Nothobranchius furzeri: one gene and its partner. The protein of the gene in region 1 purifies or fractionates together with the protein of each later gene. This does not show direct contact. Links are inferred from orthologs where the notes say so. Each region holds a gene or a part of one and is shown in the gene's direction. Other genes may lie near its edges.

The links.
Region 2: the proteins of otud5a (region 1) and ruvbl2 purify together in Homo sapiens (affinity purification with mass spectrometry, with the first as the bait; 3 studies listed by BioGRID). This does not show direct contact. The link is inferred for Nothobranchius furzeri from reciprocal best matches to the Homo sapiens genes OTUD5 and RUVBL2.

What each region holds. Positions count from the first base shown.
Region 1 is NC_091755.1:47,032,952-47,037,084, forward strand, and holds the start of otud5a (OTU domain-containing protein 5-A), read left to right. Parts: upstream 1-1,330; 5' UTR 1,331-1,555; coding exon 1,556-2,143; intron 2,144-4,133. UniProt on the Homo sapiens protein: Deubiquitinating enzyme that functions as a negative regulator of the innate immune system. Has peptidase activity towards 'Lys-48'- and 'Lys-63'-linked polyubiquitin chains. Can also cleave 'Lys-11'-linked ubiquitin chains (in vitro).
Region 2 is NC_091750.1:65,678,106-65,682,088, forward strand, and holds the start of ruvbl2 (ruvB-like 2), read left to right. Parts: upstream 1-1,163; 5' UTR 1,164-1,235; intron 1,236-1,945; coding exon 1,946-2,000; intron 2,001-2,120; coding exon 2,121-2,176; intron 2,177-2,505; coding exon 2,506-2,647; intron 2,648-2,752; coding exon 2,753-2,882; intron 2,883-2,967; coding exon 2,968-3,034; intron 3,035-3,167; coding exon 3,168-3,274; intron 3,275-3,364; coding exon 3,365-3,458; intron 3,459-3,536; coding exon 3,537-3,755; intron 3,756-3,845; coding exon 3,846-3,964; intron 3,965-3,983. UniProt on the Homo sapiens protein: Possesses single-stranded DNA-stimulated ATPase and ATP-dependent DNA helicase (5' to 3') activity; hexamerization is thought to be critical for ATP hydrolysis and adjacent subunits in the ring-like structure contribute to the ATPase activity.

The sequences.
Region 1 (4,133 bases):
GGTAAAAAGTCTGTAGAACATCAGTTTCCTCCTTGCACTTCCACACAGAACAAGGGAGGGTCCCAGTTGCACCAAACACTGTCCCCTTCTTTATTGGAGACTTTACTGTGCTGCTCCTTGAGATTGAAATTTTCCGTAGTCTGTCCACAACTCTTTCCCTGAAATCTTTTAAATGTGGATTGCCACCCATGGTCCGTCTGATGTCAGCTCCAGCAACAGCTGGCGTTATTCACAGAGCAATACGATTGTAGTCCTTCAGAGGGGGTGATTATTTTCTCATTCAAAACTTTGACTTGAACTGCACTTTTATAGCGCCTTTCAGTGTCAGTGTATCATTCATCCGTTCACACACTGGTGGTGATGAGCTACAACATAGCCACAGCTGCCCTGGGGCACACTGACGGAGGCGAGGCTGCCAAACCCAGGTGTCACCGGTCCTTCCGACCGCCACCAGGGGGCGGGCGGGGTGGGGTTGGGGGGGGTGGGGGGTAATTTTCTTGCCCAAGGACACAACAGCAGGATTCTCTGGTGGGAGCCGGGATCGGACCTGCAACCTTCTGATTACTGGACAACCAACCCAACCTCTTGAGCTACTGCTGGCCCTACTTATCACTGAAAGAAAAATCATCACAAAGAGCAAAACAAATGACTTTTAATCAAGTGTAAATAACAGCATTCTGTTGTTGCTTAAAGAGCAAGTCACCCCCCCAAATAAACTTTTTTTTTGCTGATAAACTAAATAAACGAGTGTCTAATCGTGCTGCAGACACGTGTCGTCAATAATTTGGCACTTTAGTGCATCTTAGTTAAAATTTAAATATTCTGCCTAAAACTGGCAGTGTTGTGCCGTTGTCAGGTAAAAACTCTGCACTGTATTTCAATTTAAATCTGCCACCGCTATTGGCGAAGAGGTATGCTATGATGTAAACTGGTACATTATGATGTCACAATGCTGTCGTGAGCCTGTGTGTGTGTGTGTATTTGTTAGCAGCTCCGCCTTCTCGGTCTGCCAGGCAACAGCATTTGTTGCATTTTTCAAACATGAAGTGAGAGTGGAGTTAGACTCTGGTAGGGGTTGACTAAGCAAAAGTTTATTTGGGGGGTGAGTTGCTCTTTAAATGATTCGCAGCATCAGTTTTTATTGTTTTTTTGTTTTGTTTGTTTCGTAATTTTACACAAAAAGCTGAAAAGCGATAAGAATTAAAACAAAAATGTTTTGTAGAGTTTTATAGAATAAATGATTAATAATAAAAATAGTGATTCTGTGTGTTAAAGGTCAGGTTTACGTCATGACGCTGCCGGCCGGATGTTACGTCACAGCGCCCAGTCAGGCTGTGTTGATGTTTTGGAGAACGGGAAGAGGGAGACGCTTTTTGTTTTTGTTCAACTCCACCGTCGAATGTAAACAGAATTGTTGTTTCTTTGGTCGGTTTCGGTCCGTTAAGGGTCTTAACTCGGTGACTGGAGCCGAACCGCTCGTTCAGAAGGTGAATAGACCGACTAGTTTTATCCAGAACGGGGACTCGTCACCCTCTGACCGCCTCCCTGCTCCACCATGACGATCCTCCCCAAGAAGAAGCCCAGCTCTGGTGTCGGCGTCTCGGACCACGCCGATGACAGCGACCGTCGGAGCAGCTCCGACCCTCACCAACACCCACACCCGCACGCTGGGCGGACCGGAGCCCGACCCAGAGCCTCCCCTCCGCCGTGGTCTTACCAGACTGCTCCCCCCTCCGCCAGAGAGGACAGGCGGAGCATCGAGGCGAGCTCCCGGCCGCAGCAGGCCTCTCCGCCGCCCGTTGGCTCCGTGTCCCCGGTAGGGCCGGGAGATGGCAGAGACGGTAGCGGTGGAATGGTTACCGGCTCCCGCGGGGAGCTTGTTGTGCCTGCCGGTGTCGTTGGATGCGGCGGGTCGATAGGCGGTTGCTGCTCCGGGCCCGGGCTGAGCAAGAGGCGGCGGCAGGCAGGAACCTGCTCCGGTGGGGTGGTCGCTGCTCTGGCCGGGGGAGGCCAGCCGGGGGTGACCGGACCCGGAGGTGTAGGGTCCAGTCAGGATACGGAGGAAGGAGCAGGGAACAACAGCGAGGACGAGTACGAGAACGCCGCCCGGTTGCAGTTCATGGACCCGGCCACGGTGGAGCAGGTAGGGAGCTAACAGGCTAACGGGGATGCTAACGAGGCTAAACGGGAGGGTTCTGGAGGGTTTGAAGGCTTTTACACAACATTTAACTCCATAAAGAGACCCCACCGTGTCAGCAGTGTCGTGATTAACAAAAGTGTAATCATAAAGGAAACGCCGCTGTAGCGGTACAACACCAGTACTACACTGTTTTCACCACAACGGTCAGGTCAAAGTCTGACCCGCTTCCCAAAGGCTTCAGGTAACCATAGCAACGACTGGGATGCTGTAGTCACACAACAGGTAATAGGGGTGGGGATTTATGAGGGCTGGATGTGCAGGTGGGGGCAGCAGCAACAGTCAGTCCAGATGTGGTTTTAGTGCCTCCCAGCATCCAGATCCAGACCTGTGGTCCTGAATCTGGATCAGCACTTTTCTAGAATGTGGATTTTTTTTTACACCATCAGGTCTCTACTGACCTCGATCAGCAGGCCATTAGACGTAAGCAACATGTTTGAAACCTCAGTGTCATCTTCGATGAACACATGAATTTCGACAAACAGATCAATGCGGCGGTCAAGTCAAGTTTTTATCAACTTAGGACCTGGAAAAAGTCAGTCATGCCCTTATAAGCTCGCACATCGGTTACTGCAATGCCCTATCCAAGTCCTCCATCGCTCGTCTGCAGCTAGCCCAAAATACCGCAGCCCGTCTCCTCACTAACACACCTTGGGGCAGCCATATTACTCCCATTCGCTTAGAACTGCACTGGCTTCCTGTATTTTTCAGAACACAATTCAAATTCATAATGTTCACGAGCATCCATGGCCTCGGTCCTGCCTATCTCTCTGACTCCTTGTCCTTACGTCAGCTAACACGGTCCACTAACTCAGTCCCTCGACCTCGATACAAGCACTGGGGTGACCGCTCTTTTTCAGTCGTGACTCCAGCAGTCTGGAACAAACTCCCTGATGACCTGAGTTTGACTTTTGAGTTATCTTTGTTCAAGCGCAAGCTTAAAACCTACCTTTTCCAACAGGCTCTTCATCAGTAGCCATCCTCTTTAACTTCTGATGATAAAGACTCGCGGGTCTTATTTTGTTTCTGAACCAGGAACGGGCTTTTGGTCCTGATGCTGACAGCCTGGATGTTCCTTTTCCTCTTTGGACCAGAGCTCTTAGACCCCAGCTCTTGAAACAATACTCCAGAGTTCTGATCCAGTTGACCACATTTCTGCTGTTCTGGTCCAACCCAGAGGATTTGGTGCAGCCTCTGAATGGAGTGGTTGCTGATTAGAGATTGACAAATTGGTTTTTCTTTTGCTGATGCTGATATGTAGAGGTCCTGGTCAGCCGTATGGTAAAATGTCACTGATAACATCTAGACGTGGGCGGTGCTCACATTTTAATCCCACCTAGCTTCCTCCACATTTTACCACGGTGTGCGGTATTACTGGGACTAATTTAAAAATGATGACGTAAGCCTTCAAACTGTTGGTTTGGACCTTCACCGTTCAGAAACTCAATAACAAACACTAACAACATAACACACCTAATATTAACAACTTTAATAAAAAAACAAGCTTATAAAAAGATTTTTCACCTGTAAAACCTGCACGTTTACCTTTTTCGGCTTCAGCCCCCAACTGCTGAAAACTCGCTTGTGGCAGACGGCCGGTTACCTTTGGGCTAGTCGTGACATCTGGGGAAGGCTGGCTGCTTATTTCCACCAGAAAGGCCTGTAGTCGTGCCTTTTAATGACGGCTGCAGACAGAAATCTGCCTCTTCAGCTACGGCTCGCTGCTCTGCCGTGCCGACGGGGCGGGCGGCTTTCGCTGTCCTCTTTTGTTTGCACAAATGACCTCATAAGAGTTCACCAGAAGTTGTGGTTTTTTTAAGACTCCCGGTCAGCTGGTACGCGAGCTGCCATTTCTTCTCTCGGCGCTGTCATGTGATGACATCATGTTCATAAACTTTGTGGAACATCTCTAAAATGTCGACAAAACATTTTAAAC
Region 2 (3,983 bases), on another chromosome or scaffold:
TACACCCTTTTTTTTTGCATTTCTAAAGGTATAAAAACACGAAATCTAACTTGTCAGAAGAAAACTTAAGGATGGAGTGCCAGCCAACTTATCTTATCAGATATTTTGATTGATATTCCTTTGCATTGATCACTGCAAGTTCACATGAACAAAAATTCCACAGCTTTAAATTATGAGCTTTGCTACCTCTGGTGGAGAAAAGCTTTTAGAGCTTTATTATGGCGTTTTCCATCAGACAATGTTGGCCTTCCTATGCCATGTGGATGTGTTTCTTTTTAATATAGAACAAAAATATATCTGATTAACCCTTCAAAACTTGAAATAAAAAACTTATTACATTTAAACTTACATAATAGTCACAAGATAATTTGAATGGTACGTGTGTATTTGAGAAATAACGTCCCTCACGTATTTGTTCCAAATGCCTTGGTTTAAAATGACTTATTTTCAAAATTATAGTATTTTAATGTGTTTTGTGCTTGATGCATTCTTATTCTCATTGCTTATTTGTTTAGATTATTTTAAGAGAAAGCTCAGTAGATTGCAATTGTTGTCATGTCATCAATTCACAACAGGACAATTCCATTTGAAAGTATATAAAAAAGAAAGTCACAAGAAAATGTCCCTTTATTTTTATTTTTTGCTTTCATTCTTGTTAAATGCACCAGCACACAAATGTCTTCTACCTGGATTACCTCTTTATAATTTTTTATAGTGTTTTAGATTTTAAAGGACCCCTCACTGGTAAGAAGACTTTTTACTCAAAGCAACTTGGAAATTTGTAACTAAAAATATTTTTGCTATTTCAAATGTGAATAGAATATGTTTTAATAGTTGTGCTCATCCTTTTTTAGCAATGGCTTATTATTTTGTATTTGAAATTTAAGAAAAAAGCGATTCTTTTGTTTCTACTGGTTTCCAATGAGAACATTTAAATGACGAAAACACGAAATGCACGGACCCAGTTCTACAAACATTCATTGAACGAGTTAACATTTATAAAATTTTGAATTAGCATTTTATGTACCTTTATAAGAATCGTGTAATGAAACGTATTTACCTCGTTAGTTTTGTCTTCTTGGTCAAAAACAATTCAGTAACAACCGATGGTAACAACGCTCCCCCATGTGCCCCTGTGAAAAAAAAACTACTTGTTTCTAGTCGGACGCATTTGCTCGGTGCACTTTCAGAAAGGAGCGCCTCGTTCTCACGTTTCGGTGAGTGTAGTGGTGCAGGTGAGTGAACACGCTTATTATAAAATAATATAAAATTCAAACATATTACAGTTTATGCTGCCCGATTGCTGTTGTCTGTGTAATTTGAAGAAAGTCTTATGATGTTGGAGTGTTTGACGTCCCCATTCTGCTTGTTTTGAATGTTAGCTTTAAATAAAGCGATGAATGAAGCTAGCTGTTTGCTAACACAACATTAGCCACGGAATGCTATTCTATTCCTGTTTTAACGCTGGCAATGTAGCCGCACATGTTTCGGTATGTTACATAACTAATGTGGTGGCAGTTAAAAGTTTTCTTGCTTTCACGTATGACATTAATATTTGGAAAGTGATCGAAACTTTGTATTACGCTAGCTAATGTATTGTAGCGCATGGGTTATAACTGTCACTATGACAACCAGCTGGACAGAACAGACCTCTCAGACGTTTTCTGATCTAGCAAACAACATAAATATCGTTTTATTGTGGTACATTATTTACTAAAAGGTGTGTCTCATTGCCAAATCAAGTTTTGGATCTGATCTTTACCGTTTTAGTATGATCAGGTTTACACATTAACTATTGTTTTTAATAATTTGACTTATTTTGAGTCATAATGTGAGATACAGACAAATAACTGGTCAGTAGAAGTTGCATTGCTTAATTATTCAGAAACGTAAAACAATCTACTTAATATTACAAGTTTTTCTTGTTGTGTTTCACCTGATGCAGATGGCGGCTACAAAGGTTCCAGAGGTTCGTGATATCACACGGATTGAAAGAATTGGTAGGTGTGGACGTCTTGAACCGTTAACTAATCAAAAAGCTAATTTATCATAAGGGTGTATGATGCTGCTAGTTGTGTGTGCTCTTTATTTTTCCTTCAAATCCACCTTTTTGCGTTCAGGGGCCCATTCTCACATTCGGGGCCTTGGCCTGGATGATGCTTTGGAGCCAAGACAGGTACTCTTGTCTCTGATTCATTTGCTGTGGACTTCCTGTTCATGCTCTCTAAAGAAACTCTGTTAAGTCTTTTAAAAGAAAAAAGCTGTTTGTAAAATGTGTTGTTTGGTTACTACTAATGCATATACTTTGCTAGAACTGGTTAAACTGAAAATACAGTAGATAGCCTGTGTAACCTCAACATCACATCACTTCAGACATTTTCTCTTATATTATCTACCAACACTTTAGAATATTGAGCAGTGTTGTTCTTTTAGGTTTAGTTAATTTTCCAGCATTAATGTGTGTGAGGTTTTGTCTGAAGGAGACTTGATCCTCTTCACCTGCAGGTTTCTCAGGGGATGGTTGGACAGCTGGCTTCCCGTCGGGCAGCAGGGGTCATCTTGGAGATGATCAAAGACGGCCACATTGCTGGCAGGGCGGTCCTGATCGCTGGCCAACCTGGCACGGGAAAGACTGCCATTGCAATGGGTGAGAGCCGAGTTGGAAGCTGTCCATGGATGTAAATGTTTCAAGTTGCATTTTGTTTTGAATCAAGAGTTCCTGCATCCTGTTCCTGATGAGCTTGTCTTATAGGCATCGCACAGTCTCTCGGCTCAGACACGCCCTTCACAGCTCTGGCTGGTAGCGAGATCTTCTCCCTGGAAATGAGCAAGACCGAGGCACTGAGCCAAGCTTTTAGAAAAGCCATTGGAGTGAGGATCAAGTGAGACAGCGGTCACAGATACAGCATTATTTAATTATTTTTGTATGAAATGATTTGCCTTTGACTGTTTTTTCCGTATTTACAGAGAGGAGACGGAGATTATTGAAGGAGAGGTTGTGGAAATCCAGATTGATAGACCGGCCACCGGAACGGTGGGATACTTTCTCTAATGTTAGCTAGTAGTCTCAGAATTTATTGTCTCCCACTTTCTGTTAGCTTAAATACATTGATGTTATTCTCTTTGAAGAGTCCTGTTTAATAAAAATTATATTTTCTTTCCGTCAGGGTGCAAAAGTAGGCAAGCTGACTCTAAAGACGACAGAGATGGAGACTATCTATGACCTGGGCAACAAGATGATTGACAGTCTCAGTAAGGAGAAGGTTCAAGCTGGGTAGGTTCTGTTCGCACAACAAGACTCTCTAGTCTCGTTTTTCTCTGCTGGAGCGACGTTAGAACAAATCTATTTACTCTGTTTTTACAGAGATGTTATTACAATTGATAAAGCCACTGGGAAAATCAGCAAGTTGGGTCGCTCCTTCACCAGAGCCCGAGACTACGACGCCATGGGCGCTCAGGTGTGATGCCACTGTATTCAGATTGAGGATGCAGGTTGACTGATTGCTGGATTATTTTCTTTGTTTTGTCTTTTGTAGACCCAGTTTGTCCAATGTCCGGAGGGAGAGCTGCAGAAGAGAAAGGAGGTGGTACATACGGTGTCCCTCCATGAGATCGATGTCATCAACAGCCGCACCCAGGGCTTCCTGGCTCTCTTCTCCGGAGACACCGGAGAGATCAAGTCCGAGGTCCGGGAGCAGATAAATGCCAAAGTGTGCGAGTGGAGGGAAGAAGGCAAGGCAGAGATTATTCCCGGAGTAAGTTTTAGTGTGTGCAGATTTTTGAAGTTTGGGGTTTCTACCTGCTTAAACTACATAACAAATCATTTTGTTTGTTGTTTTTTCCAGGTGTTGTTTATCGATGAGGTCCATATGCTGGACATGGAGTGCTTTTCCTTCCTGAACCGGGCCTTGGAGAGTGACCTTTCTCCTGTTCTCATCATGGCAACCAACAGAGGCATCACCCGGTAGTGTTTATGCACATCC